4 linked regions of the Notamacropus eugenii genome follow. The protein of the gene in region 2 interacts with the protein of the main gene of each other region in a pairwise test. Links are inferred from orthologs where the notes say so. Each region holds a gene or a part of one and is shown on either strand. Other genes may lie near its edges.

What was found.
Region 1: the proteins of TEX11 (region 2) and EFHC1 interact in binary tests that used the Homo sapiens proteins (3 or more experiments, as listed by UniProt). The two-hybrid records come from large-scale screens. The link is inferred for Notamacropus eugenii from reciprocal best matches to the Homo sapiens genes TEX11 and EFHC1.
Region 3: the proteins of TEX11 (region 2) and TSC22D4 interact in a two-hybrid assay, tested with the Homo sapiens proteins (2 studies listed by BioGRID and IntAct). The two-hybrid records come from large-scale screens. The link is inferred for Notamacropus eugenii from reciprocal best matches to the Homo sapiens genes TEX11 and TSC22D4.
Region 4: the proteins of TEX11 (region 2) and MAPKBP1 interact in binary tests that used the Homo sapiens proteins (3 or more experiments, as listed by UniProt). The two-hybrid records come from large-scale screens. The link is inferred for Notamacropus eugenii from reciprocal best matches to the Homo sapiens genes TEX11 and MAPKBP1.

The regions. Positions count from the first base shown.
Region 1 is NC_092873.1:118,739,797-118,746,682, forward strand, and holds the start of EFHC1 (EF-hand domain-containing protein 1), read left to right. Parts: upstream 1-3,873; 5' UTR 3,874-3,993; coding exon 3,994-4,056; intron 4,057-6,886. UniProt on the Homo sapiens protein: Microtubule inner protein (MIP) part of the dynein-decorated doublet microtubules (DMTs) in cilia axoneme, which is required for motile cilia beating.
Region 2 is NC_092879.1:100,227,668-100,235,552, forward strand, and holds the start of TEX11 (testis-expressed protein 11), read left to right. Parts: upstream 1-4,871; 5' UTR 4,872-5,031; intron 5,032-7,397; 5' UTR 7,398-7,424; coding exon 7,425-7,458; intron 7,459-7,885. Other genes in the region: SLC7A3 (cationic amino acid transporter 3), read left to right, coding at 143-282, 450-552, 786-970, 1,096-1,262, 1,423-1,531, 1,647-1,771. UniProt on the Homo sapiens protein: Regulator of crossing-over during meiosis. Involved in initiation and/or maintenance of chromosome synapsis and formation of crossovers.
Region 3 is NC_092873.1:80,327,283-80,335,015, forward strand, and holds the start of TSC22D4 (TSC22 domain family protein 4), read left to right. Parts: upstream 1-4,727; 5' UTR 4,728-5,291; intron 5,292-6,240; 5' UTR 6,241-6,543; coding exon 6,544-7,287; intron 7,288-7,733.
Region 4 is NC_092878.1:27,979,490-27,986,464, forward strand, and holds the start of MAPKBP1 (mitogen-activated protein kinase-binding protein 1), read left to right. Parts: upstream 1-3,975; 5' UTR 3,976-4,266; intron 4,267-4,710; 5' UTR 4,711-4,808; coding exon 4,809-4,925; intron 4,926-6,975. UniProt on the Homo sapiens protein: Negative regulator of NOD2 function. It down-regulates NOD2-induced processes such as activation of NF-kappa-B signaling, IL8 secretion and antibacterial response. Involved in JNK signaling pathway.

The sequences.
Region 1 (6,886 bases), on a different chromosome or scaffold from region 2:
GAACATAGGTCATTCCTTAAATAGAAGACAGTGCCACAATGGATAACGACCATGAGGATGACTCACCCTTTCCAGGCTCTGCCTCCACTTTCTCCCTAATTAGCCAAGGAACAGACTAAAGAATCTACCAAAAGTCTTAATGAAGTGGCATACCTTGTGCCCTACCCATTTATGGGGTGATTTCTAATTCCTTGGAGGAGGGCAGTAAAACTGTTTAAGATTTATAACATACAAAGTTAATAAGTTACTAGATTTGGAGTTGAGGACCTGGATATGAAATTTAAACACAGGTCTGACCTGGTTACTCTCCTGTTCAAGAAATACCCATGGCTACCTCTTGCATATAATATAAAAAACAAACTCCTGTGTTTGGCTTTTCAAGCCCTTCACAATCTGGTTCCAGCCTACCTTTTTAGGTTTAGTGCATATTATCATCCTACACATATTCTACATTCTTGTGAAATTACCATGTTTGGTGTTTCCTTTAAATGACATTCCATCTGACATCTCTATAACTTTACGCAGACTATCTCCCAAGCCTTGAATGTACATCTTCCTGAGGTTGACCTGGTTTCTCTCATGAGTTCCAGTCCCAAAACACTGACTGCCTTTTGGACATAGATGTCCCACAGATAACTCAAATTTAGTATGTCCAAAACACACAAAAGGAAGATGACAGGGAGAAGAGGAGGGAGGGGAGGTACCCAGGTGCTGGGGAATGAAGGAGAAGTCCAGAGAAGTCCAAAAGCACCAAAAGCAGTGTAGCTGGTGGGAAATAGGGAGAAGAATACATTGAACCCTTTTCTTAAATAAAAGCCTTACAGCCTATGGCCTTGACCTATAGCCAAGAGTGTCCAATTAGAGGGGCCAAAAAATGTGAGTACCAGGCAGATTCAATCTTTCAGGATAATGAAAACCCTGAAAAGGGAAGGCATGGTAGAAAGGTCCAATGAAATCCAAAAGCAGTGTAGTAGAAGAGAAAGGGGGAATCACCATCTTTCCCATTACTAGGTTGGCCACCTCCGTGTTATCCACAATTTCTCACTCTCTCCTAACCTACATATCAATCATTTGCCTAAACTTGTTGCTTCTTCATCCGCAATATCTCAAACATACAACCTCTTCTTCCTACTCAGAGGTCCTCACTCACTCACACACTCCCTACTCACAAACCCTCATTACCTGTGACACATAGGAGATGCTATATAAATGCTTATTCTCTCAACTCCCCCCTCCCTGCTCAGTAGACTCCTAATAGGTCTCCTTCCCTCAAGTCTCTTCTCTCTCCAATCCATCTGGCACACAGCTACCAAAGTGTTATGCCAGAAGGATAGCACTGACCATGTCAATCCTCTTTTCAATAAAGTTCAGTTTATTTATTTACCTCTTGGACAATGGCCCTAAATCTGAAATCTGTGAGGTTTTTTTGGTACAAAATTTTTTGATAACTGTATTTTAACATAATTGTATATTTTATACTTTCATGTATTTCATTTTATGCATTTAGAAACATTATGAGGAGTCTATAGGCTTCCCCAGACCGCTAAAGGGGTCCATGATGAACACAAAAAATGTTAACAACCCTTGCCTTAGGATCAAACATAAACTCCTCTGGAGTTTAAAACCCTTTACAACCCGGCTCCAAAGTATCTTTCTTGTCTCATTATATATTACTTTCATTCTGGTACCCTAGACTAGCCAAACTAGCCTTCTTATTCTTCATTATAAAGGACTCCATTTTTTTGTCTCCATGCTTACCATTGTCTCTTAGAATATGTAGTTTCCTTCAAATCTCAGCTTATGAATCAGTTTCTGCAAGAAGCTTTTCCTGATCCTCCCTGCTCCTGAATCTCCCTCCCACTTACCTCCAATACTTAACATCTGTTTCTTATTTATTTTGTATATGTGTGTATGTATGTATGTATAGTACACAATCAATAAATGCTATTTATTGATTGTGTACTTAAGAGTGTAATAGGTTATTAAGTGGATCAGACAAGATCAAAATCTATTCGCCACAAGGTCCTTCTCTCCTTCCTCCAACCTAGCCAATGTGAAACAGCATCCATCAACCTCCCTCAGTAGCCAGTCACAAAATCAATTTTCACCATCAGGAATTTAGTTCTCATTCAACTGAAAACCCACTGTGCTCTAGTTTAGAGAGTAATTTCTTCTCTTTCCCCACCCCCCTTTTCTGGGAGATTAAGAACAACAGGTTGAAACTGCCCCAAATACCATTTAAAAATATAGGTGCACAACTTGGTAACAAACCTCTTGCTCAGAAAAAAAAAGGCAGGACAATTACCTCAGGATAACATGAGAAACAGGCAGAATACATATGCCTTCACCTACTCATATAATTTCAGGAACCCTGGACAAAGTCTCATCCTTTACCCCATGGTTGGTTGATGCCTTCAAATATCAACATTAGAGATAAATTTTTTTTGACTTCAGGTTTTGTCACCTGTGAACATGTAGATACTCTCACAGATGGGGAAAAGATTGTATTAGTGGTTGTTTGCAACACAATATGGGTAAACTTAAAAGGCAACAAACTTAATGCTGTTTTATCATCATCACTTCTTAAGAAAAGTTATAATAGAGCAGGGCTTCTTAAACTTTTTGCCACATTTCAGAAATGCTGTGATAGAAAAGAATGTGGAGTTAGTAACAGGAAGCAAAAAGGAAAGGTGGGATGGGAGTGGGAGACAGAGGGAAAAGCTATTGATTGCCTTTTGACCCAGCTATACCACTTCTAGGTCTATACCCAAAAGAGATCAAAGAAAGAAGAAAATAACTTTTATATATAAACAAAAATATTTAATAGAAACTAAGAAGTCCATTAACTGTGGAAATGGCTGAATATATTGTGATAGATCACCATGATGGAATACTGCTGTGTTGAACAAAATGAGGAAATATATGATTTCAAGAGACATAGAAAAACTTTTATGAATTAATGCAGAATAAAGGAAGCAGCACCAGGACAACTTATAACATCACAATTACAAAAACAATTTTGAGGACTTAATAAACTGATAATGAAATGAGTGGAACCAGGAGAACAATTTTGTGTGAGAACGCTGTAAAGCTCAACCTTGAAAGCTGTATTATGATCAATACAATGACCCTTAATGATTCCAGGGGACACGTGATGAAATGTTTATTCATTACAGAGAGGTGACAGATTTAGGATGCCAAATGAGATATAATTATATCTACATCTATATTGTGTATACCATTGAAGGAATTTATTTTACTTGACTATGCATATTTGTCATAATAAATTTTTCTTTTTTAGAGAAAATATTTTTTTTTAATGGGGGTGGTAGTGCTACAGATGTGAAATGTGCACACTTAGATGAAGTCACTATTTTATTAGTGTAATTAACTGTATTTCTTTGTTATGGAGGCCTCTCACTGAGTGGGAGTGATCTGTAAATGTAAAACCAAAACACATCAATAAAACTTAAAAAAAAAAATGAACCAAGTCAAACAGGGAAATTTTGTCATTACTATTCTAAATTTACTACACTCTTAAACTGCGTAACAGAAGTTCATTGTGTCCCATACAATTCTCTGCTTTTCTTCTTTGTGTACTGAAATGTTTACAGCTTATTAAGTTCATAATCAAAATTTTAAAAAAGAAAAGAAAGGAAATCCAACTCCTCTAAATGTCATAATTCCGTGCAGAAGGCCATCCCCCCACCCCCCACCCCACCATGCTGTCACTGGTGCGGAGCATCCAGCATCAGAAAACACTCTCATACTGCTGCAAGGTCGCCTATTCAAGGGGTTCACAAGGGTGCAAAGAGGACGCCACCACCGGAATGCACAGGCGCAGATACGTCATTCCCCGTTCTGTCTGCTACTGTTCAGTGCCCTGCGAATGTTTGGCGTTGCCATGGTTGCACAGCCCTCGTGCGAGTTCCAGTCGCCAGGGCAACGGGATAGACAGAAGCTGGGCTCTAGAAGGCGGCAGCGGCTGTGGCGATGATGTCCAAGCCTGTGCACGGGCTGCCCCTCCTGCCGGGTTTCTCCTTCAGCGACCCCAGGGTGAGGAACAGCCCAGCTCCAGCTGGGCCTCGGCACGCCTACTCCCACTCCTCACCTTTTCTAAGGGCAGCTAGCATCCCCAGCTGGGCCCAGTCCCAATTCTTTGCCTCCCACAGCCCATTCCCTGTACCTCTCCAGCCCAGCCCAGCTTCCAGCTCCACCTTCCCCCTCCAGCTGCCGACGTTATCCTTCTTCCAGCTCCACCTCCCTTTACCCAAGCTGCATCCCTCCTCCAAGTCTTTTTCTGCGCCACCCATCCCTTCTCCCAACCTGTCTCCCACCTCTAGCTGTAGACTTCTCCCCCAATCAATCTTATCCTCCCACGACCATCTAGATGCAGCCCTCAGCCCCACTTTTTTCCCTTCTTTCAGACCGATCTCCTTCCCCCTCCAGTCCTCTCCTCTCAAATTGAGAATACCCTGAAACATGATATAAAATTCAAAATAGGCTTCATCTTTTCTCTCGAGGCTTACCCCCAGCCTCAGTCCTCTCTACCAACTCCCATCCGTTCTCTCAGGTCAATCTCCTACTCCACCCCCACCCCCCAACCTCAACCCTCTTCCTCCAACTCCCATCTTTTTTCGTAGCCTAAAGTCAGCTCTCTCTACAGACCCCCATCCCTTCTCCCAGAACCATCTCCCACACCTTTCCCTTCCCATCCAGAACATCTTCCAGCCCCGAGGTCCATCTCTACCCCCCAGCTGCAGTTCCCGGCTTCATTCCCATTCCTTCTTCCAGCAGCAGCCCTTTCTCCATGCATTCCCATTCAGTGCATTCTTTCCCTCAACCCCATCCCTATTTCCTAGCTTCTTCCCTCTTTCCCATCTTCGTTCCCCCATCCATTAACACTAATAATTGACATTTACACAGCCTTTTGTAAAGGTATTTATATAAATTCTCATTTGAGCCTATCCCATAGCCCTCCTAAGTCTCAACCTTGTTCTTTTTCCTCAAAACTCCATTCTTCCTCATCCCAGGTCCAACTCTGTTGCTTCCTCTCCCTCTATTCCTAGCCTATTCCTGTATCTCTCTTCTCCCACGTCCATCTCTCTTCCTTCCAACTCTGTCTCTGAGATCCTCTACCTCTTCTCTTATCTCCATCTCCATTCCTTGCCTGCCCTCTCCACCAGTGGTACAGTATAAAGAGCACAAGCTGGACTGTGGAGTGATCTGGATTTAAATCCTGCTTCTCATCCTTTCTAGCAATGCCACAAAGTGACATCCCTTAACCCATCTGAGCTTCAGTTTCCTCAGCTGTAAAATGGGGATCACAGAATCTAGGGGATGGAAGCACCCATTACATCTAAACAAGAATCTTCTCTATGGCGTCTTCAGCATCCAGCCTCCACATGAAGACCTCCAGTGAGAGGGGACCCACTAATTCCTGAGGCAGCCCATTCCACTTGTGAATAGGTCTAGTTGTTAGGAAGCTTTCCCTTACATCAAGACTAAGTCTGTTTCTCACTACATCCATCATTTCTCCTACTTCTGCCTTCTAGGACCAAATGGAAAAAATACAATATCTCTTCCAGGTCATAGACCTTCAAATACTTGAAAACAGCTACCTATCTTAGATAGGGTGCTAAGTTTTCTTTTCTCCATAGGCTAACCAGGAGGTAGGTACTCTGGGATAACGGTAATTGTTGTACTTACTTCAATAAGTTGTTTTGAGAGAAATAATTAGTAAACCCATATTATGAATGGTAGCTATTATTTTTATAACTCTGCCTCTCCAAGTCTTCACCCCACCTAAGCCCCCTTTCCAAGTCTTTCCTACCAACCTCTGTTAGTGCTTTCACCTGTAAAATGAGATGATTAAATACATATAGCACTTTCTTCACAGGATTGTTGACAGACATGCACTTTGTAAATCTTTAAGCATTCATGATAGAAAATGTGAGTTACCATGCCTCTTCCTTCGGACTGCTAGCCTCATTCCATCTTACTAACTCTAGCTGTCTTCTCCCAGCCCCATCCATCTACAACTTGCTTAAAGGCAAAAGAGACCTTCAGGAAACAAAGTTCACCAATTGACTTGGTCAAGCAAAGCTGTAAAAGAGGGGGAAAAAGTAATCACTCTGATGAAAACTAATCTGACTGGTTGTATACTAATGTTAAAATCTCCTTCTTCATCAACATTTCTTATACTCTTTGAACTTTCTTTTCCCTTCCTCCCTATGTTATCCTTCCCCATTTGTCAGTGTGTCCCTTCCTCTACCCCAGTCAAGATACCGACCCCATCCCTGATCCACTTATACCTTCACATCAAACTGTCTGACAGAATCTCCTCTTCCTATAGCAGACTAGTTGCTTCCTTTCTAAATTTCCAGTTTTGCTTGACCAAGTTAATTGGTGGGTTTTTGTTTCCTGGAAGGTCTCTTTTGCCATTTAGCAAGCAGATTGCACAGAAGGAGCCAAAAGTGTACATACTTTACATTTGAGTTTTCCAAGTGCATGAAATGCTTTGTATTCAATGGCACAAAATGGCGATGTATTTCTCTTGTATTGCACTTAGATGTCAGATTTGGTGAGGGAATAAAAATTATGGGATTCCCTCCCCTTGTTCATTGTGATTATAGGGAAATTGTGAAGTCCTTGCTTGTGTTGATCATCTTTGACCTTCAGAATTAGATGCAAGTTGAATTTTCTGCAATTTGAAAATGATGCTAAAAATTTGCTGGGGATGGTGAGTTAGTACTTAGTAATGAGTTGAAAGTTTTTTGCATATGAGCCTGTGGCCATTCTTAGAGGCAGGCAATTTGAGTGACTTATCAGGCAATGGCTTTCTGCTGTATCCATTGCTGTCACCTAAACAGAATGAACTGTTAGC
Region 2 (7,885 bases):
TGAATGTGTACCTTGTCTGTCAGGGATGACTTACAGTCAGATAGAGCTGTGCTGAGCTGCCACAGAGAGGCTTGGGAGGGGCAGTCCAGTTCTTTGCCCATGCTAGGTACTTATGATTCTGTCCTTCCCCCCCCCTCCCCAGCCTCCTGGGCTCCATGTTCCCCATGCCTCGAGTGATCTATGCTATGGCAGAGGACGGCCTTCTGTTTCGGTCCTTTGCTCGAGTCCATCCCCGGACACACACCCCTCTTGTGGCCACAATTGTCTCGGGCATCACTGCAGGTGTGTATCCCTTCTTGCCTGCCTCCCCTTCCCTCCCATCCATGCCTCTCCTAGCCTTCCCTCCCCTTTGTGAGCCTGCTTCTCAGACCTTGTAGATGCTGGTGCCTCCTCCCACCCTCCCCGGCTGTGGAGGTGGGCCAATGCTTTCTCCTCTTCCCCCCTCCTAGCCCTGATGGCGTTTGTTTTTGAGCTCGCTGATCTTGTGGACCTCATGTCGATTGGGACGCTGCTTGCCTACTCCCTGGTGGCCGTTTGTGTTCTCATCCTCAGGTGGGCCCCCCACCCCATTTGGCATTCTTGTTCTCTCATCCTGACCCACCAGGAGGAAACCTGGCGTTGTTCCCCATGCTGTTACAGCCCCAAGCCAAGGTTTTACTCGGTGGGGGTTGGGGGAGAAGGGGTGTGTGTGTGTGACAGAGGAAACCCCAAATACTGGGGGGAGGGGGAGGAGAGAAAAGTAACTAGGTGCTGGTGCTAGTTACCAGATTCCCTCCTGCCTCCAGGTACCAGCCTGATGAACTAACACAGCCAAAGGTGGATCAGCCTGTGGAACTGTGGGCACAGGAGGTTAAGGAAGAGCGAGAGCCTGAGAATCAGCTCCTGACCCTGTTGAGCCTACTCTGCCCATCCCACTCTACACCCACCCAGCTCTCTGGCCATATTGTTTATGTAGCTGTATCGATTCTTGGTGAGCAGTGGAGTGGGGACCAGGGCAGAGCAGGATGGGGTATCTAGGGCCCCAGAGATGGGTTGATTTGGGCCTGGCATGCAGTCTGCTTTGATCTGATTTCTTCTCCCTCTCTCACCCTGCAGCTGTGGTGATAACCGGCCTGTGCTTGGTGCTGGGCTACTGGTCAGAGCAGCTGAGGGCCGGGAAGCCCACCTGGATTACTGTGAGTGCCCTGTTCCTGTTGCTAGGCATTGTGGCCACTGTCATCATCTGGAGGCAGCCCCAGAACCCGACTCATCTCCACTTCAAGGTAAGAGACTTCTGAGGGGAAGAAGCACCGAGGAGAAGCCATGGTGTGCCAATGCTAGCACCGCTTTACCATCTTGTGTTTATCATTTTAGTGAATCTTGTTTTTCTCCCTGGCACCCTCCATAGTCATGAGAGTTCCTCTTATTGTGCCCTTCCTTCAGGTGCCTGCACTGCCTGTCCTCCCACTGCTGAGCATTTTTGTGAATGTTTATCTCATGATGCAGATGAAGGCTGGCACCTGGGCCCGATTTGGGATCTGGATGATGGTTGGTAAGTATCTGTCCTTGGACGGAGGGACCTGACCTCCAACTTTTTTTTCATGTTCCTCTTAGGCCTCTTGGGTTCTGTTCTCCCACCTCACAGCCACTTTTCTTCCTCCCCTCAGGGTTTGCCATCTACTTCACCTATGGGATCCGGAACAGCCTAGAGGGTCAGAGTGAGCCAATGCCCCAGCCTGCAAAGACTGCCAAAACTTCTGAAGTCAGCCACCCTGTTGGCCCTTCTGTCTGACTCGGACAGCCTAGCGATGCTGTTGGTACAACACTGGAGATCGCCTCTGTCTTTGTGTTCTTGCTCAACTTGTCTTCTCGACACGTAGGGGATTTGGACTCTGTTGGGCCAGGTGGGTCATGAGGCCTGGAAGGGTAAGGGGGAGGTTCTTAAACAGAACTGTATTTATTATGATTGAAGGACTGACCTTTTGCTGTTTCTCGTCTGACCTTTTTTACTGAAGTCTACTTTGTGAGCTTTTTGAATTAAACAGAGGAAAATAAAATCAGGAACTGTGTATCCTCTTCTCTGGGTTCTTCCACTCCCTTTTTTCTTACCTCTCAGGCTGCCTGGTTCCTGGAACTGTGTTCTCCCCAACCAGGGAGGGAATCAGCTGTGCTTAGATGTGGGCAACTTGGTGTGGGGGTTCTAGATGGCTTAAGGCTGAGGCAAATAGATGGAGGAAGAAATGCCTTCCAGACAAGCACAGAGGGCTGGGGCCTTGGGGCCTTTTCTTTGAAGGGGAGGCAGGAGATGACAGCTCTTTTGTGACTTGGGTCTCTGGCCTACCCTCCTCACTCTGGGCTGCTCCAAGGCTGTTCTGACTGCTGGCTCAAGGGTGACATCGGAGCACAGCTGAAGATTCTCCTGCTCTTGAGCCATATGGGAGGAGAGGAGGCTCTCAGCCTGGAGCTGAGAGGTTGGGAAGAAGGTTTTAGCCAGATCTAATGCCATGAATTGACTTGTATTTCTTTTAGTTGCTTCCATTTTTTCAGCTCAAGTTGTGCCCCCAACTACTTCATCATCAATAGCTTCACGTGTAATGCTGAGGTCTTCCCACATCCCTCCTTCCCCATCACCAGGCCAGTTTATGCTAGGGAATAGCCAGACCACCCATGGCCTGGGTATCATATGGGTAGCAGCTGATGACACAGTGGGTAGAGTGCTGGGCCTGGAATCAGGAAAATCAGGAATCAGGAGTTCAAATTCATACTCACCTTTGGTTACCAGTGTGACCCCGGGCCAGTTAGTTAACATCTGTTTACGAGTTCCCTCACCTGTAAAGTGGACATAATAATAGCCACTACTTCACAGGGTTGCTGGAAGCATCCAGTGAAATAACATCTGTAAAGCCCTTAGCACAGTACCTGACATACAGCATCTAACACACTTTTGTCTACACTTTTCCCTTCTCTTGGTCCTTTCCAATGATACCAACTCAGTGCCTACAAATTCTGCAGTTTGGGAGCTCTGTTTGCAATCACTCGACCAAAGGAATCACCCAGCTCCTTGGAGGCCTTGGAGTCAGTACCTGAAAATACTTGAACATGGAAATTAAGATCCCAGATTTAGGACACAAACTTTGGAGGGCTTCAGTGGTTCTAGTTAAGTGAAAACCATGTGAAGCTTGAGATTTGCAAGGTGAGGACCACCTGATAATGTGATGAAAAGGGAATGAGGTGCTGTGTGGCCTGCTCCCCTCCGCCCCCCAGCCTGGCTCCTTTCAGTATTTAGAATGAAGAGAGAATCAAAGGGATTGGCAAAGTTTACATTCTCCACTGCCCTTTTCCAGTCACCCTGTAATCGAGTTAGAAGGATATCCTTCAGGGCACAAGAAAGAGTCTTGGCTCTTTTCTGCTCTTCTCTTCCATCAATTCCCCCCCCCCCCCCCCCCCATTGCCCTTTCCTCTCCCCTAGGTGTGTGGTATGCTTACCCCTGTGAAATTCTACCATGTGACATGATCTTTGTCCTGTGAAGAGTCAAGAATCTGAGCCTTGGGCAGCTAGGGGCCCTTTCACAACAACTGAGTGAGGAAGGAGTAGAGAAAGTTGCTCTGAGTCGAGAGGGACTGTTAAGCCTGGCAAAGTCTAACCTTCCCAGCTCTAACTCTCTATTTCTTAGGAGCTCGGTCTATGATCATGGCCAAAGCTCTAAATCTTTCTGGGCCTTTATTTTATCTATCAAATGAGTATAACACCTACCTCTCAGGACTGTGGTTGGCCAGGTGCTGGATCCAATGAGATTGATTTAAAGAGCTGCAGAAAGCTCCATCAAGCACTATATACGTGACAGTGCTTTTAACCCTCTCACTTGGCTCCCATACACAAAAGTCTCTTTAACACCAATCTCCCACTAAGGCTATATACAGCTTCAAATGAGTCTCGGTAAACCCGAAATCTCAGAAGAATCCCAATCCCAAATTCTGGTTGCAGATGCCTGAAAGGTGCAATGGAAAAATGTATGATGGTTATAAAGTCAGTGTAGTGTATGTGTGCTGGGAAATCTATGACTAGAAGAGGAGGAGAAGGGGATTGGGACCTTCCTGCCCAGTGGGATCCATGGAACATTAAGGGAAGCAGCAGGGTGGCCTCCAGACCTTCAGACAGATCCTTCAGTAATAGCTCTCCAGAGCAGAATGGTCTTTTGTGCCTTGACTAGAATAGGCTTAAGGCTCCATAGATACTCATGATTTGAATTGAGAGAGGAGGAAGGAATGCACAAGTGGAAAAAGTCTGAAGGGAGGGAGTGAAATTCTGGGAGCCTCCAGAGGAGTAACTGGGGGTCGTGCCTGGGCTTGTTGACATCATGGGGTGGCCTCTCTTTGTCTCCAGAGCTTCTCCAAGCCCTTCTGGTTGGGGATCCGGAGCCTAACTCAATTCAGCTCTCTAGCCTCTGCCCCAATCCTCTGAGGCCCTGGGGGCTGCCCAGGGGCCGTCCAGGAGGCAGGGCTATGGGGGCGGGGGAGGGGGCTCATAGGAGCTTGGTCAGGGGGTGAGTATCAGGAAGGTGGCTGTATGCAGACGGAGGGCTTGCGGGCCAGGGCTGTGTGGGGCAGTGGCTCCTGGGCAGCCGCTCTGGGCCACGTGCCCCTCCCAGCACCCCCACTCCATTCTCCTAGCCCTTCCACTTGACCTCCAGGCTGCTTAGCCAGACCGGAGCCCTCAGAGAGGGAGAAAGACGAGACCTGATTGGAGGATTCTCCACCAATTGCCTGTTGGGGAAAAGAGGCGGGGGTAGAGGCATCTTGACCAATGAGGAAGCAGCATGCTCTCCTTAACGCCCAATCACTGCGCGTTCTTCTGCATCCGCCAACAAAAGGTTACCTGGCACCAATAGAACGAGCTAAAGTAACTTTGGCAGTGACTGAGGAGACGGCAGCCCAGGGCGCTGGGCGGGACCCTCCTTCAGCTCGCTCGCTTTCCTGGGCCGCTGACTTGGAGGGCCTTGTCCCTTCGAGGCCTCCGCTTGCTGGGGCGCGTACGTCCTCTTCTGTCACTAGGTTCGTGGGTCCCAAGGGGCGGCGAGGTCCAAGGGGAGGAGGGGGCCCGGGAGGCCGGGTGGGGGGGCTGAGGGCCTGAGAGGAGGAGGGGCCCCAAGACCCAGCAGGGGATCCACGAGGCCAGGTGTGGGGGGCTAAGTGCCTGAGAGGAGGAGGGGGCTCCGGGAGGTCAGGTGGGGGGGCTGAGGGCCTGAGAGGAGGAGGGGGGCCCCGGGAGGCCGGGTGGGGGGGCTGAGGGCCCGAGAGGAGGAGGGGGCCCTGGGAGGCCAGGTGGGGGGGCTGAGGGCCCGAGAGGAGGAGGGGCCCCAAGACCCAGCAGGGGATCCACGAGGCCAGGTGTGGGGGGCTAAGTGCCTGAGAGGAGGAGGGGGCTCCGGGAGGTCAGGTGGGGGGGCTGAGGGCCTGAGAGGAGGAGGGGGCCCCGGGAGGCCGGGTGGGGGGGCTGAGGGCCCGAGAGGAGGAGGGGGCCCTGGGAGGCCGGGTGGGGGGGCTGAGGGCCCGAGAGGAGGAGGGGGCCCTGGGAGGCTGGGTGGGGGGGCTAAGTGCCCGAGAGGAGGAGGAGCTTTGAGATGCGGCAGGGGATCCACGAGGCCAGGTTGGGGGGCCGAGGGCCTGAGAGGAGGAGGGGGCCCTGGGAGGCCGGGTGGGGGGGCTGAGGGCCCGAGAGGAGGAGGGGTCCCGAGACGTGACAGGGGATCCACGAGGCCAGGTGTCCGGATCTAAGTGCCTGAGAGGAGGAGGGGGCTCCGGGAGGTCAGGTGGGGGGGCTGAGGGCCCGAGAGGAGGAGGGGGCCCCGGGAGGCCAGGTGGGGGGGCTGAGGGCCCGAGAGGAGGAGGGGTCCCGAGACGTGACAGGGGATCCACGAGGCCAGGTGTCCGGATCTAAGTGCCTGAGAGGAGGAGGGGGCTCCGGGAGGTCAGGTGGGGGGGCTGAGGGCCCGAGAGGAGGAGGGGGCCCCGGGAGGCCAGGTGGGGGGGCTGAGGGCCCGAGAGGAGGAGGGGTCCCGAGACGTGACAGGGGATCCACGAGGCCAGGTGTGGGGGGCTAAGTGCCTGAGAGGAGGAGGGGGCTCCGGGAGGCCAGGTGGGGGAGCTGAAGGCCCGAGAGGAGGAGGGGGCCCTGGGAGGCCGGGTGGGGGGGCTGAGGGCCCGAGAGGAGGAGGGGTCCCGAGACGTGACAGGGGATCCACGAGGCCAGGTGTCCGGACCTAAGTGCCTGAGAGGAGGAGGGGGCTCCGGGAGGTCAGGTGGGGGGGCTGAGGGCCCGAGAGGAGGAGGGGGCCCCGGGAGGCCAGGTGGGGGGGCTGAGGGCCCGAGAGGAGGAGGGGTCCCGAGACGTGACAGGGGATCCACGAGGCCAGGTGTGGGGGGCTAAGTGCCTGAGAGGAGGAGGGGGCTCCGGGAGGCCAGGTGGGGGAGCTGAGGGCCCGAGAGGAGGAGGGGGCCCTGGGAGGCCGGGTGGGGGGGCTGAGGGTCCGAGAGGAGGAGGAGCTTTGAGATGTGGCAGGGGATCCACGAGGCCAGGTGTGGGGGGCTAAGTGCCTGAGAGGAGGAGGGGGCTCCGGGAGGTCAGGTGGGGGGGCTGAGGGCCCGAGAGGAGGAGGGGGCCCCGGGAGGCCGGGTGGGGGGGCTGAGGGCCCGAGAGGAGGAGGGGGCCCTGGGAGGCCGGGTGGGGGGGCTGAGGGTCCGAGAGGAGGAGGAGCTTTGAGATGTGGCAGGGGATCCACGAGGCCAGGTGTGGGGGGGCTAAGTGCCTGAGAGGAGGAGGGGGCTCCGGGAGGTCAGGTGGGGGAGCTGAAGGCCCGAGAGGAGGAGGGGGCCCTGGGAAGCCGGGTGGGGGGGCTGAGGGCCCGAGAGGAGGAGGGGTCCCGAGACGTGACAGGGGATCCACGAGGCCAGGTGTCCGGATCTAAGTGCCTGAGAGGAGGAGGGAGCCCCGGGAAGCCGGGGGGAGGGGGGGGGGGGCCGAGGGCCCGAGAGGAGGAGGAGCTTTGAGATGTGGCAGGGGATCCACGAGGCCAGGTGTGGGGGGCTAAGTGCCTGAGAGGAGGAGGGGGCCCCGGGAGGCTGGGTGGGGGGGGGGCCGAGGGCCCGAGAGGAGGAGGGGGCCCTGGGAGGCCGGGTGGGGAGGCCGAGGGCCCGAGAGGATGAGGGGTCCCGAGACGTGACAGGGGATCCACGAGGCCAGGTGTCCAGATCTAAGTGCCTGAGAGGAGGAGGGGGCCCTGGGAGGCCGGGTGGGGGGGGCCGAGGGCCCGAGAGGAGGAGGGGACCCTGGAGTGACCCAAGGCCAAGTCAGGCAGGGAGGGCCAGGCAGGGCGCCCCTCTAAGGGAAGCCCAGCCAAAGTGTGCCTTTAATTTTCTAGGTGCTGGTGATCCAGAAGTGTGTCCACATGGAGGGGGAGCTTCATTTTGAGGAGTTGAAAGGTACAGCGTGAAGTCCAGGGAATCTCCGCTGAGGGGGCCTTGGTGTCCTTGTGATCTGTAAAGGCAGCCACCTTCAACAAATGACATCAACAGGCAGGACTAAGGAGAGGGTGGGACCAGGCCTGGTGGGTTTGACAAGAGGCCTGAGGGGCCTGGTGGACTCCCTAGGGACCCACTGGCCACTTGTCAGGCTCTTGACCAGGGGAGTTTACTGATTCACCCATGGTATAAAGCGAGCTTGCTAAGTATGAGTCATCATTAGACTCCTGAGAGGCAACTGTAACGAGCCTGTCTTGGAATCAGGCAGACCCAACCTTAAGTCTTCCCTCTAATATATTGACTGGCTCCCAGGCAACTTCCATGTAAGACTAAGGTTCAGGTGAGTTGCTCTGGTCAGCATCAGTGGAGGGAATTTCCACACTAAGAG
Region 3 (7,733 bases), on a different chromosome or scaffold from region 2:
ACTACAGGGCCAGACACATTGATGAACATGGATACATGGACGTATACACAGGTAAACAGATCTAGAGACAGATGCACCCACAGACATAAACACCCACAGACACACCCACAGACTAGAGACACACACAAACACACAGACATCCACATTAATCAGATACCCAGAATTAGACAGGCTGAAACAGAAGAGTTAATGCTTGGTGCCTTATTGGTGTAGGTTTACAACCATTTTTTTTATGGGGGGTGGGGGAGGCTCAGTCAAGTTCCCAGCATCTGGGAGGAGGGAAGGGGGACTGAGTCAGGCAACAATCACTCTTCTTAACCCAAGACTGTAGTCCAGCACCTGACTGCCTAATGAATCACCCCTGCCCCCACCCGTACCCCAAACACACACAAACACACACATACACATACACACTCCCCTTCCTCCCAGCATTTAGGCTAGGGCCTGGCCCTGCTCCGTCTCCTTGTCATATCCCTCTATCACCTCCTTGGCATCAAGTCCCCTGCCTCCCCAAGCCCTGGCTCCAGTCTCCTTCCACCCTCTTGGATCTGGGGATGCGGACAAGCCCTTCTCCATCAGTCCCAAGTGTTGGCTCACCCCCGAAGCATCAGTGGGAGAGGGTGGGGGTCGCGGGGGGGTGGTTGCAGGTTGAGTCCCTGGCTCCAGAGATCTCCCACTCAGTGCCCACCCTCTTACCTAGCCTGGCACTTGCCCCATCCCTCCCCATCCCCGTTCTCCTTGCTCATCCTGGGGCCTCTTCCTCCTGCATCCCTACATCTCCCCGGATTCTCTGGACCTGGCCTGCCCCATCTCCCGGCCCCGTGGTTCCCGTGCCCTCCTCCACCTCTCCCCTCGTCCGGATCCCCTGCGCCTCTCAGCTCCCCTTCCTCCACCCAACACCCCTCCCTGCCCAGCCAAGTCCCCCCAGTTTCCCCATTGCCCCCGTACCTGGCCTGCCAGGCGCCGGCCCCCCCATGCCGGGCGGAGCCCGGAGCAGGAGGAGGAGGAGGGAGGAAGGGAGAGAGAGACAGAGAGATCAGGGGGAGCGGAGCTCGGGCCTGCCGCAGAGACAGCCCCGCCTCCAGGCCCGCCCCCAGACCCGCCCCTCCACGCGGGCCGGGGCAGCGGCGGGAGCTGGGGCGCTGAAGGGAGACTGAGGCGTGGAGGCGCGGGCCGCGAGTGGATGGGCAAGGGTGAGCGGGGCGGAGAAGCCCGGAGACGGCGAGGGGCCGGCCCCGGCGCCGGGGCCTTCGAGCGGCCGCTTGTCTTCAGGGCTTCGCTTGACCCGCTCCTCCGCCGACCCGGGAACCTAAGTTTGTGGCCCCAGCCGCGACCACCTCGGGCTGCGTGCGGCTCGGGCGCCCCGGTGCGCCTTGGCGCGGGGGGCCCCCTGGTGGCCGCGTGCGGACCTGCAGCCGCCGGCCCAGCCCTCTTCACTCCTTGTCTATTTCACAGCCCCCTCCAGCCCGGGAGCCGCCAGGAATGTGTGCTGGCCCTGCCAGGGAGGGGAAGCTTACTGAGGGGATCCCCGGCCCCCCTTGGCTCCTCTGTGAAGCAAGGGGCTTGGACAAGGTGTTCTCAAGGCCCTTTCCGGCCCTAACATCTTGCGGTTTGGAGTTGGGGATCTTGCAAGTTTCAGGGCTCCCCCCAAGGCAGGCCAGCCGGGGGTGGGGCGCTGTAGTTAGATGGAGAGACCAGTAGGGGTAAGCAGGCTTCTTTTCTGAGAGACAAAAGAGACCGGCCCAAGACAGACAGATGGCTGTACGAATAGACAAACACACCTCTCCAGCAGGAGGGGCTGTTCGCCTTCTAGGTCTCCTGAAGAGGAGAAGGCTGGGGGGAGCTGGCTTCATCCTTAACCCATCGACTTTCCTTTCCTGCTGTACCTGGCGTCCTAAAAACCTGGACCTTGCTTCTCCGTAACCCTCGGCACCCCGGAATAGCACGAGCTCTCATCCTAGGACTCGTGCAAGGATTACTTTGGGGGGCAAGTCAGTGGTCCCTGATCATGTTAATTACCGCCACTGATCGCAGCACTTAGCGTCTGTCTCTATGAAGTAAATTCCAAAACCGTGAAGACCTATCCACCTCCCCAATCCCTACCCTCACCCACCTCCTAGAAATCTGAGATCCCACAATTGGTGATTTATTCTTTTGCCTTTAGGTCTTAACTTCTGTTAAAATACCCTTAGGCACAGTGAAGTTCCTAGAGAGGAGAGAAAGCATATCTATCTCTTCCCTCTCAGCAGAGAGGTGAGATTTCTAGGACAGAGTATTGTATATATTCTCAGGTAAAGTTTCCGTATCAGTTTTCCCTTCATTGTTTTTCTTTGTCACAAGGGAGGGTGTAGTGGGGGTGGGGAGGGAGGGAATAATGATGATGCAAAGACCAAGTGATCAATAAAATGAGTTCTCAAAATAATCATGAAATAAAACATGCCTGGAAGATATAACACTATTGTAATAGAATATAAGCCCTTTGAGGACAGGAACTGTTGTGTTTTTCATCTTTGTTTCCTCAACGCCTAGAACTGGGCACTTTAGTAAATAAATATTTGTTGAATTGGATGAGTTTGTAAACTGAAAACAGTTTTTTGGGGGAAAATAAAGGGAAGATAGTGATGGGGGGGGCAGAGAACCCCAGGGTTTAAAGCGATAGTTTTCTTACTTGGCTATTGTTTCTAGGACTAGTTACAATCATAATTATCCAAAAGCATTTCCTGAAAAAATTTGGATTTATTTGAATTTATGCCTTTATATTGAGATGGGTGCTTAAATACTGTGACTGCATGCAGGGAATACTGTGGGTGTGGTACTGGAAGAGCACTGTGCCAAAGAGAGGGGTAATTGACACTATGAGAGGCATATAACAGTTATTCTAGGAAGTATAGAGTAGGATCTGTGGGGGCCTTGCTTCCAGGGCCTTACAGGAGAAGGGAAGGAAACAAGCCACAGTCCAGATTTCTTTTAGCAAACAGAAACACACATACATATATGGACACATACATGTATGTGTGTATGTATGCATATAAATATAATACATGTCAGTTGCATCTTACACTTTGTGACTGACCCTATTGGGGATTTTCCTGGCAAAGATACTGGAGTGTTTGTCATTTCCTTCACCTGCTCCTTTTGCAGATGAGGAACTGAGGGAAATAGGGTTAAGTGACTTGCCCAGGGTCATGTAGCTAATAAGTTTCTGAGGCCAAATTTGAACTCAGGAAGAAGTCTTCCTGACTTCAGGCCCAGAGTTCTATCTACTGTGCTACCTAGCTGCCCACATCTATATGATGCAGTATTTTGTGTGTGTATACACATGTGCATATGTACATATACACATATGCATCTATGTATATATATACAATATTAGAAATGCTGTCAAGAATTTGAAGGGGAGAGTTCACTGGATCATGTCTATTAAACCGAAAGGAATCTTAGAGCTTATTGAGACCAACCCCCTCATTTTACAGTTGAAGAAACTGAGGTCCAGAGAGGTGAAGTGATTTGCCCAAGGTTGTATGGCTAATAAGTATATGAGGTAGGTATCAAGGATCTTTCTTGATAAGATTTGTCTAGGGAGGACTGGAAGTCACTCCAAAGATCAGTCAATCAAGATTTATTAAGTGCCTTGTTAAGCCTTAGGAATACAAAAAGAGGCAAAAAATATTCTCTTGAAAATATTCAAGGAGTTCACAATTTAATGGGGGAGAACAACCTCCCCCCGGAAAGAGGGGATAGTAACTTCCCTTGAACTCAGGAAAGTGAAAGGATACTTAAAACTACTATCCTCTGAATGTTTTGAGGGGGAGGAAGGGGAGAGGAGAGCGGGGAGTATAGTATAGAAATTACAAAGTATGCTTTGGGACATTTTTGCTGTCCAAAAGTGGAACAGGCTGTTTTACTTGTTGTGTGACCATGGCCAAGTGACTTAAACTTCTTGAGCCCTAGTTTCCTTATCTGTAAAATGGAAATAATAACCTGTAAAGCCTATCTCACAGATGTCATGAGAATGCTTTTGCAAACCTTGAAGTCATATATAAAAGCTAACAATGATTATAGAGTAGCTTTAAATGGCAATGAATTTGTTAGAATGGAAGTTCTCCATGAGGCATGATGGGACCTTGACCTCTGAGGTCCTTTCAGATTCTGAGAACCTAGAAATCTATGAAATCTCTTTATGCTAAATGGCCTGTCCTTGAATTTCTTTGGGAGAAGCAAGGTGGTAGGGTCGTAAAATGAGAAAATAGGAATTTGGATTCTTTCTAAGAGGAGTTGTGTGTGTATCTCTGTGCACAGATATTTATGTGTATGTATACATATGTATATATATGTATGTATGTATGAGTATCTGTGAGGGCATCTGTGAATCTTTGTTTACCTGTTCATATTTCTACAAATGTGCTGAGTCCAAAGATATATATATACACATACATACATACATATATATAATACATACGTGTGTGTATGAATAAATATCCTCTGTGTCAGTTCACGTATATGGACATTTATCCGTGTCCCCGTGTAACTGCAAGGGAATTGATCTTTCTTCCAACCCAATCTTGACTCCCTAAAGTACTGGGAAGAGCCTACCTCACCAGGCAGGTGTGGGGTTAAGAGGACCCCAGTGTTTGGGGCCCCCTCTATGAGCCACAGTAGTTCTGGAGTAGGGCCAGCTGGCAGAGAGCCCCTAGAGGAGGGCGGGCAGGCGGGAGAGAGTGAGAGAGAGGAAGAAGGGAAGGAGGAGGAGTAGAACAGCAGTCAGCAGGGCTGAGGAGGCAGGACTTCCTGGTGTGGGGGTTGTCAACAGCTCAGAGAGAGAGAGACAGACAGACAGAGACAGAGAGGAGCTAGGGAAATTGAGAAAAAGAGACAAGAGTCCAAGAGAGAAGAGCTGGAGACAAGAGAGAGACACATGCTCGATGAGAGAGACAGAGAGACAGAAAGAGAGAGAGAGAGAGCGCGCGAGCGCGCTCCACTGTCAGAAGGGAAAAGATTCCAGAGAGAGTAGCCCTCGGCTTCTCTCCGACCAGCTGTGCTTTCAGACCTAAAGGCCCTTCACCACCATAAAGGCCATATTCCTCTGGGACTGAAAGCAGTGCTTATTATTTTTTGGAAAACAAAGTTGCTGTGGAGATGACTTGTGGGTCAAGGAAAGGCCTCTACGGACTGTACTGCCTGTGACCACCACCCACCTCCTCCCTTTTCTTGGAGCTTAGGCTGGGAGGCCCCACTCTCCTGCTCTCCTGTGGACAGTCTGTTGGGGCATCTTATGCTGCCAGGATCCCCAGGTCAGGTTTCTCGAGTTGCTCTGGGGAAATTTAGAGGTGGGATTGTAGGGGGGTGTGTGTGGTGTGTGTGTGTGTGTGTGTGTGTGTGTGTGTTTGTAGGGGTGTGTGTGTGTGTGTGTGTGTGTGTGTGTGTGTGTGAATTTAGAGGTGGGATTGTAGGGTGTGTGTGTGTGTGTGTGTGTGTGTGTGTGTGAATTTAGGGGTGGGATTGTAGGGGTGTGTGTGTGTGTGTAGGGGGGTGTGTGTGTGTGTGCGTGTGAATTTAGAGGTGGGATTGTAGGTGTGTGTGTGTGTGTGTGTGTGTGTGTGTGTGTGTGAATTTAGGGGTGGGATTGTAGGGGTGTGTGTGTGTGTGTTTGTAGGGGTGTGTGTGTGTGTGTGTGTGTGTGTGTGTGTGTGTGTGTGTGTGTGTGTGAATTTAGGGGTGGGATTGTAGGGGGGTGTGTGTGCGCACGCATGTGCCCAGTTGGGGTAGCCGAGGATTAAGGAGAAGTTTTAGCACCCCATAGATTCTGAAATGGGTGCTAGTAGCACTGAAGGGAAGCTCTCCTCTCCCCTCCACCCCAAGGTAGACTAGGGTGTGAAAGCCCATGCCAGACCAGAGCTGTGAAGTGGTGAGCTCACCTCCCTTTCCTGTAGACCCAGATTCCTTGCTACATCTCGAACTTGGGACTTGGCTTGTCTCTTTCTGCACAGTACCAATAATAACCCATGTAATCTGTTTGTTTTGTCTTTACTTCCTCCAGCTCCTTGTCTCTACCTCATTCTGTTTCCCATTCTTTTTTTTTCTTCTACCTCTTGTGGTTCCTCTATCTCTCTCTGGTGGTTTCCCTCGTTTCTCCCCCACCCTGATCTCCACTGCTCTCCCCACAGAGGAAGCACCCAGAGTGTCTTACTCCCATAACACCTACTCCCTCCCCCAGTGACTCTCTAATTTTTTTCCTCCTAGTTTGCAAGTTCAGCTCTGGAGTCCAACAGCGGCAGCAGCAGCAGCAGCAGCAGCAGCAGCACTGGCAGCAGCAGCCAAAGGAAAGCCTGCCCATCCTCCAACTCCCACAACTTCTCTCCCTGCTATTCCTCAATTTCAGAGGCGGCCCCAGTTCCTTGAACTCTCCCAGCTATGTTGGACCCCGATGTTGCCAGGGGCCCTGATCCCACAGCTATATGGCCTCCTAGTGCCAGGGGCGCCTGAGCGCTGCCTGGAGAGAGGCCTCTCCTCTTCGTGCAGCTCCTGTCCCATTTCCGAGGGACCATGAGCGGGGGTAAGAAGAAGAGTAGTTTCCAGATCACCAGTGTCACCACAGACTATGAAGGTCCTGGGGGATCTGGGGGAAGTGACTCCCCTACAGCTATGGTTCCCACCTTACCCACACCTCGTCTTCCCAATGGCGAGCCTAGCTCAGAGCCGGGAGGCAAAGGGACCCCTCGAAATGGCTCTCCACCTCCCGGGGCCCCAGCGTCACGTTTCCGGGTAGTGAAACTTCCCCAAGGACTGGGGGAACCATATCGCCGAGGGCGCTGGACATGTGTGGACATTTATGAGAGGGACTTGGAAGCCCCAGGACTCAGCCGGCTCCTGGAGGGAGTTCGGGGAGCCACTGGAGGGACTGGTGGTCGCTCTTTGGATTCTAGGCTAGAGTTGTCCAGTTTGGGCCTGGTTCCCCCAAGCCCCCAACCTCAAGGCCCAACCAACTGGCTGCGTCCACCCCCAACTTCCCCTGGCCTTCAAGCCCGATCTTTCACTGGGGGACTAGCTCAGCTGGCAGGGGGCAAGGGGAGGGCTGAAACACCACCTCTTCCAGCTTCCCCACCCCAGCAGCACCCCCCGGAGCCCAGCGATGGGGACAGTACAGGGGTACTGGTACCACATGCCTCAACCCAGGTGCCCACCCTTAGGGTAGAGGCCGAGGTGGGGGCCCCAGCAGTGACTCCTCCAACCACCCGAAAGAAGGATGGAGCCTTTTGGCTGAGGAAAGAGGGGGAGGAACGAGGCCAGGTAAGAGGCAAGGGTGGGAGGGGTGCACGAAAAGGGGGTCTCTCTGCAACTTAATTTTCTTCCTTGGACTTGTGTTAGTCTCATGCCTTGTCCCAGTTCCTTCCTGGACTTCAGGTTCCCCTTTATATCTATTCTGTCCTCCTCAGTTTTTCTTTTTTTGTACCTCAACTCTCCCATCCTTATATTTGACTCTTCCAGTCCCTAATACTTCTCTATGAACCTGAATTTCCATCCCTTCTCTCAATTCCATTTCTCCCTCTTTTGCTCTCTTCCCCTTCTCTTAAGTTTCTTTCTCACTTTTATTTCAGTGTTGTGTATCTCTTTTGTCCCTCCGTATCTTTCTGTTTCTCCATCTGTTCTTCTGAATTATATAGTTTTCTCTGGACAAAAGTTTCAGAAATGGAGGAGACTGATTGATAACACTAGGCTCTGTAGGGGAGGGTGTG
Region 4 (6,975 bases), on a different chromosome or scaffold from region 2:
GTGATCATAAACTATAGATGTGGTCTGAGCAGAGCAAGGTATGGGGAAAAAAATCACCTCCTTATGACTGACAGCTATGCTCGTTAAGCCTAAGATTACATTAGCGTTTTTGCTGCCACATCATAGTGTTGACTCATATTAGCAGTGCATTAAAACATCTCAACCTTTTTTTCAGGCTATCCCTATCCTATATTCGTGTTGAAATTTGAACCAATGGTAAAACTTTACACTTACAAGATCTTTTGGATGTGACAGTCAACCAATTTGTTAATGAACCCCAACTTTGTTTCATCTTCAAATTTAACAACCATTCCATCTCTCTACCTTAAACAGTCATTGATAAGAATGTTAAACAGCATAGGGGCAAACACATAACCCTAGGGCACTCCACTAGACTTCCTACCAAGTAGGTATTTGACTATTATTGACTGTGGTTTGAATCCAGCCATTTAATCTGTTCTGAATCCATCTCGTTGTTTTATTGATTAATCTTTCCATTTTCTCCCCAAAAAATAATATGAGGTGTTTTGTTTCTTTGTGAAATATTTGAGTTAAGACTTGGTAAATAAACTAACTACACACGTACTCACACATTCAGTCATGTCTGTCTTCATTCCCCTATTTGTTTTAGGGAGTTGGTTTTTTTTCTGGCAGAAATACTGGAGTGGTTTGCCATTTTCTTCTCCAGCTCACTTTATAGATGAGAAACTGAAGCAAACAGGAATAAATAGGTTGCCTGGGATCACACAGCTGAGACTGGATTTGTACTAGGATTCCATCCTTTGCTCCACCTAGCTGCCCATAAGTTTAGAAACAGCATAAAAAAAGGAAATTAATTTGGCATCACCTTAAAGCCACATTAACTCTTTGTAATCACTGCTTCCTTTTCTGGATTTTCATTAAACATCTTTTTGTTTTATATTTTTCCCAGTAACTGAAGTCAAGTTCACTGGTACATAGTGACTATTCTCAACTTTTTTTTTTTTTTTAAATCAAGGCATTTGCCTTTCTCTCAGGCCATGGTACCTTCTCCTGTTTTCCATGATGCTTCAGAAATCACATCCACCAATTCTTTCAGTACCTGAATATGTAATTCATATATTCCAGACCTTTTACTCTATCCCCATGGGTATCAGCTTTTGGTTAGTTTTTTTGTTTTGTTATTTCCAGTACAAAGATCGTTCTACTTAGCAGATAAACAAAAGAAGTATTGAGTAGCTCTACTTTTGTTGTCAGTTCCCATCCACCCCAACCAGAAGTCTTACCCACTATACTTCCTCTTTCTCTACAATAGTTATTTAAAAAAATAAGCAAAAAACTCTCATCTTTTTGCTCTCTTTATCTTTTTGAACCTGCCTCAGCTCATTCTGAGATTGAACACTACTACTAGGACTTTATGGGACCATGCTATGCCATGATCTTATATTTATTCTGCTGCCTTCCTATTTAGCATCTTCTGACCATATCTTTTTAAAATATGGTGAGTTTCCTATACATCCATATTCTTTCCAGACAATTCCTGTCCCTCTTTACAAACTCTCCACTTCAACCAAAAAATATTACTTCTATATTTCCTAGATACACCATTCCATCTCTTTCTGTGCCTTTACAGACTATTCCTGGAATGCCTTCCATTTACTTTACTCCCTAGGCCAATATGCAGGCCACCATGTAGTCCAGCTCAGAAATCAAACCCTGAAGGACTTGATCCTTTCGTGCCTGGATCTCTTGCCTTGGAGAGTGATTGCTAGTTGGTGGTTGCCTCAATTGCCCACTATGTCTAGGACAGGCAATCTTGCCTCACTTTACCAATTCTGGAATGAAAAGCAAATCAACTCATTATTACTCCTAGAAAGGGTATATCAATCTACTCCCTCATGTCTCCATGTACCATCCCTATAGTTTCCGTACCAAAAAGTCCCTCCCTTGTCAACACTTTCCTGTGTTTGTTACTTCTTCCATTAAAATTTGTTTCCTTGAGGGCTTCGCTCAGTGCTTGGAACAAAGTAAAGTGTTTAATAAATGCCTTTGGTTTTTCATCCTTACTTCAAACTTTAAGGAATCTAATTTCCTTCAAGTGCTGCCTTCTTTAGGAAGTCTCCTCTACAACTGATAGTCTGAGAGAGCAGGGGAGACATGGACTTGCTCTTGGGTCACATCACCAGTATGACAGAGGCAGGTCTTCCTGGCTCACTGACCAGCTTCTCTATTGTCTCTCTTTTGTGTTTATATTTGGTTTTTATCTCCATACTTGACATGTTGCTGTTCAATCCTGTTGACTCTCTGTGACTCCCACAGACCATAACATACCAGGCCCTTCTCTTGAAGTCTGTCCAAGTTCATGTTTGTTGTTTCCATGACGCCATCTATCCATATGATCCCCTCCCTTTTCCTTTTGTCTTCAATCCAGTACTTGGCATATAATATGCTTAATAAATGCGTGTTCCTTGATTTAACTCTGAGGTTCCCAAACTTTTTTGACCCACTGCTCCCTTTAAAAAAAATGAAAAAACTCAGCATTGCCCTAAAAATCTACTTTCTTTAATCCTTTAATGGTTTTCTAAAAAAAATTGCATCAATTCAAAAAATATAAAATAATTGTTTTAAAAATGATGCATCTTAAATTTAATAATTTATTGTAAATTTGTGGGGTTTTCCTGCATAGAAATTTTGATGAACTATATAATAGTATTAAAAACTAGTCATTACATGCACATATTCCTGCCAATGCATATGCTCACTTCTGGGACAATTCATGATACCCTCACCTGCCAACACTTGCTTGTTAAGACCTGTCAAAGGATTTGATGACTGAGAGGTTATAACTTGAATTTTGTGTGTTTATTTGGAAAATAATGTAATCACTACAACTTTAACTATTACACAACAGAGGAAACATGGACGAAAGGTTTTTCAAAATTTTCTTCTTTCCTTAAGCTTCCACAGCCCCTTTACTTTTACTTACCCCTCCCCCCCAACTGCTGCTACTGCCCCCTCCCAGGATCGTTCCAGTGCCCATAGAGAAGCAGTATCACCCACTTTGGAACCTCTGAAACCAAATCGTGATTAATTTTGCCTAGAGTAAATCTTATGAGAAGGAGAAGAGGAAGCAGCCTAGCAGGGCCTAATAGCATTCTTTTTTTTGTTGGCCAGTCCTTGTACCCTCTCCCTGCCAAGTTCTAGGTACAGGGACCCCTAGACTGATCCAGGCCTATCTAGGTAGTTGGGTAGGACAATTAAATCTCCCAGCCAGCCACAGGTGATTGGAGACAGGGAAACAGCTCTTGTAAATCTAAGGACAAGACACGCGGGGTGCGGAACCTCCTCCGTGCCCACTAAGACTGAGCCCCCCAGGCCAGAAGCCAAGGACTCCACGAAGCTCCCTTTGGCAACTGGACGCCCAGTTTCAGCTTCTTCCGCGCCTGGGGACCAGTTCTGCCCCTCCACGCGCGGCATTCTTCGCGGGTGGTGAGGGGAAGAGGGGAGGTGGGTCCTACGTGTAAGCTAACGGACCTCAGTGCCCAGCAGGGCGTATCGTTCAGATCCCAGACGGACCCACCTACGTCCCTAGGCCTGTTTCCTTCCCTATAAAAATAAGAGCATGTGCCCAGATGGACTTTTAAGGGCCCTTCCCACTCTCGCATTCTCCGATGCCAGACTCCCCAGGATCGGTTCGTTCACGTTCCTCCCGGGTCCAGTCTCTCTCCTCTGCCCTTTCAAGCCTCTTCTCTCCAACTCCGCTTCTGCCACTCCTCCCTCTCCTCCCCGTCCTGGGGAAGACCGGGCCTCTCCCGCTGGCCCCGCCTCTCCCCGTTGGCTCCTCCCCTCTCCCCGCTGGCTCCTTGCCTCTCCCCGTTGGCTCCTCCCCCCTCCCTGTGGCCCCGCCTCTCCCCGTTGGCTCCTCCCCTCTCCCCGCTGGCTCCTTGCCTCTCCCCGTTGGCTCCTCCCCTCTCCCGGTGGCCCCGCCTCTCCCCGCTGGCTCCTCCCCTCTCCCCGCTGGCTCCTTGCCTCTCCCCGTTGGCTCCTCCCCTCTCCCGGTGGCCCCGCCTCTCCCCGCTGGCTCCTCCCCTCTCCCCGCTGGCTCCGCCCCTGCTCGGCCGGCCGGCCTCCTAACCCTCGGAGGGAGTCGCGGCCGCGGCCGTCGTTCGCGTTTTGAGCCGTCCGTGCCGCCGTAGCTGCCTGGAGCCGCAGTTGCGGCGAAGCTGGAGTTGCAAGCGCGATGCCCGGGGGACCTGCGAACCGGACGGTCTCCGGCTCCCGGGGCTGGTGAGGCGGGGCCCCGGACGGGGGGTGTGTGTGTGGCGCGGAGGACCGGAGGCCGGAGATTTTGGAGAAGCCTGGGGGAGGGGGCGGAGGGGGGGTGGAAAGTGGAGACCGAGGTGAGAGCGGCTGGGACCGGGGTCTCCCGGCTGTGGCTCCCGGCTCCGCTGCCCCCTCAGGCCACCCCCTGCCGCGCGTTGCCATGGGAACATTGGAGGGAATCTCCCCGCTCCCTCCGGGCCAGTCCCCCCGCGCCCCCGGATCGCGCGGACGGAGGGTGGGCCTGACGTCTCGCCCCTCCCCACCCGCCGATTTCGGGGCTTCTCCCCTTCCCCTCCCGGTCGTCGTTCCTGGCCGTGTGAGCAGCCCGGGGGGGCCCGGGGGGTAGCCCGGAAAGAACCTCGGAGCCTGGGCCGGGCCGGGCTGATGTAGTGACTCCCTCCCGTCTAGGTCGGTGCTGGGGCAGATCGGAAGACCCCATGGAATGAGGAGCGCGTGCCGAGGCCGGGGATCCGCCTGAGCCCCTGCGCCCTTTGGGGTCCCTCGCCATGATGTCTGTGGAGGGCTCCACCATAACCAGCCGGATCAAGAACCTGCTCAGGTCCCCCTCCATAAAACTGCGCAGGAGCAAGGCTGGCACCCGGAGGGAGGACATCAGCACCAAGGTGAGATTCGGTTCCCTTGGTGGAGCTTGGGGGGTCCGGGGCGGGGGGCAGGCCGTGAGACTGAAGGGATCAGAACACTTAAGTGGGGTAATTTCCCTGATTTCCAGTCATAGCCTCTCCACAGATTGATCATGCTTGGGTAAGCTACTGGCCCTGTTGTGACTCAGTTTCCCTTCCTGGGAGGGGACGTGGGTAGCTTGTGTGCCTGTTTAGAAACAGGGTTGTGACTAATGCTGAGTCCTCCCAGAGGGCTGCTGAGGAGCAGGTGAGAATTCGTGGAGCAGGAAGAGGATTATGGAAACATTTAGCCTGGGGGTTTGGCTTGGATTTCAGGTGCTCTCCTGGGTAACATCCCCAGAGCTCTGGGCAGATTTATTTATGCTAAAGCATGAACAAAACTGGTCAGCTTTTATTAGAAATTATGAACAAGAGGAAAAAGTTAAGGGGTCTGCCTGGTTTCTGCTGGCATAATGAAGTTGATGCCCATCAGAAACTGGAGGTAGCCCCCTTGCTCTTCTTACCATCAAAGTATAGTAATTATTTCATTTCAAAGCCTGGAGGAGGGACGGTGCCGAATGGGCAACATCTCTGGCTGTAAAAGGATCTTGGGAGTTCAGCCTTGAAGTTAGTCCTTTCCATTTCTTCTGGTGTTTTTGGGTTTTTTTGCGTTCTGGTTCATGTGCTGGACACATTTGCTGGACTCCACAATCTTGGGAAGGCCAAAGTAGAGTGAAGTTTGATCCCTGAGGGAAACCAGAGCTTCAATTCCCCGGATCAGATTAGGTTTTTGTGTGTTATTAGTCCTGTAAACACAACAGCTCTGTGAAGTACAGGACTTGCCACAGGGAGAGTCGTTTTGAGACAGCTACATTTTATTGCTTTGCCTGCATCTCTTCATTGGTTGAGCAAACCTGGCAGCCAGTGATTTAGTGCTCTACTATCCAGTGTGGTAGAGTTTTAAGAGAGCTCTGTTCAGATCCCTGTGCCTCAGGAGAACCTTACTTGGACTTAGTCAGTGGGTAAACAACCCACTGTATTCTAGCAAAGAAACTGCCCTGGATTGAAACTGACCCCAGGTTTCCATGCTGCTGTAGTTCAGGGATTTGTAGCCCTCCGTGCAGTTTGCTGTAGTTGGTATAAATATAGATTTGATCCCTACTGACTCAACTTTGTGGGACCTTTGACTCAATCACTTACACTTCCTTAAGCCTCAGTATCCATATGTGTAAATTGAAGGGGTTGAACGAGATGTTTTCTGAGGTCTCTTCTAGTTCTAGCTCTGTGGTCTTATGATCTTGTTGACTTACTTATCTAGATTGGATTTTTTATGAATGTTGGGTTATCCTTAAAAATGCTGTGTAGATCTGAGTCAGGTAGCTTGGAAATGATCAACATTTATAAATGTGTCTCTAGCCCGAATGTGATGGCTGATAATGGTGGAATTTGGAGGACTTTATAAAGGGAGCTTAGTCAGCAAGTGGTGTGATGCTTGTTCCATTTTTGCTGTAGAACCTAGAAAGTTCTGTGGAAGCTGCAGCTTTCTGATTCAGGGAGAATTTAATACAGATCTTGGAAACCCATGTTTCAATGATGCAAAGACTTTAGTAAAGTTTGTGCCCCTTTGACCAAAAAGAGTGAAGTTGTGATCTAAGTAAGCAGGGATTCTAGGAAAGGTCTTTAGTGTGTAAAAGAATAGCAGCTGCTTTTATATGACCATATTCCTGAAGACTAGGGTCCATCCGCTAGTTTGAGGATAAAAAGCACCCTTTTAACTCAGGCAGTGCTTAAGACCTTTTTAAAAATTTGACTAGGAACCCTATATTTATTTTGGGAGTTTCCTGATTATCCAAACAGCTTCCAAAATCCTGGAGTTTTCAAGGGGGCACTCTCAGGGTGCTTGTGGGATTAGTTCTAAAATGGAATTTAAAGATGGAAATAATGGGACCCTATACTGTCATCTTTTCAAGGTGAGAAGAAATATACTATCCATATGTTGCTTCCCTGGTAACGTAGTGACAATAGCCATTTTGTAGCATAGCATAGGCCAGCC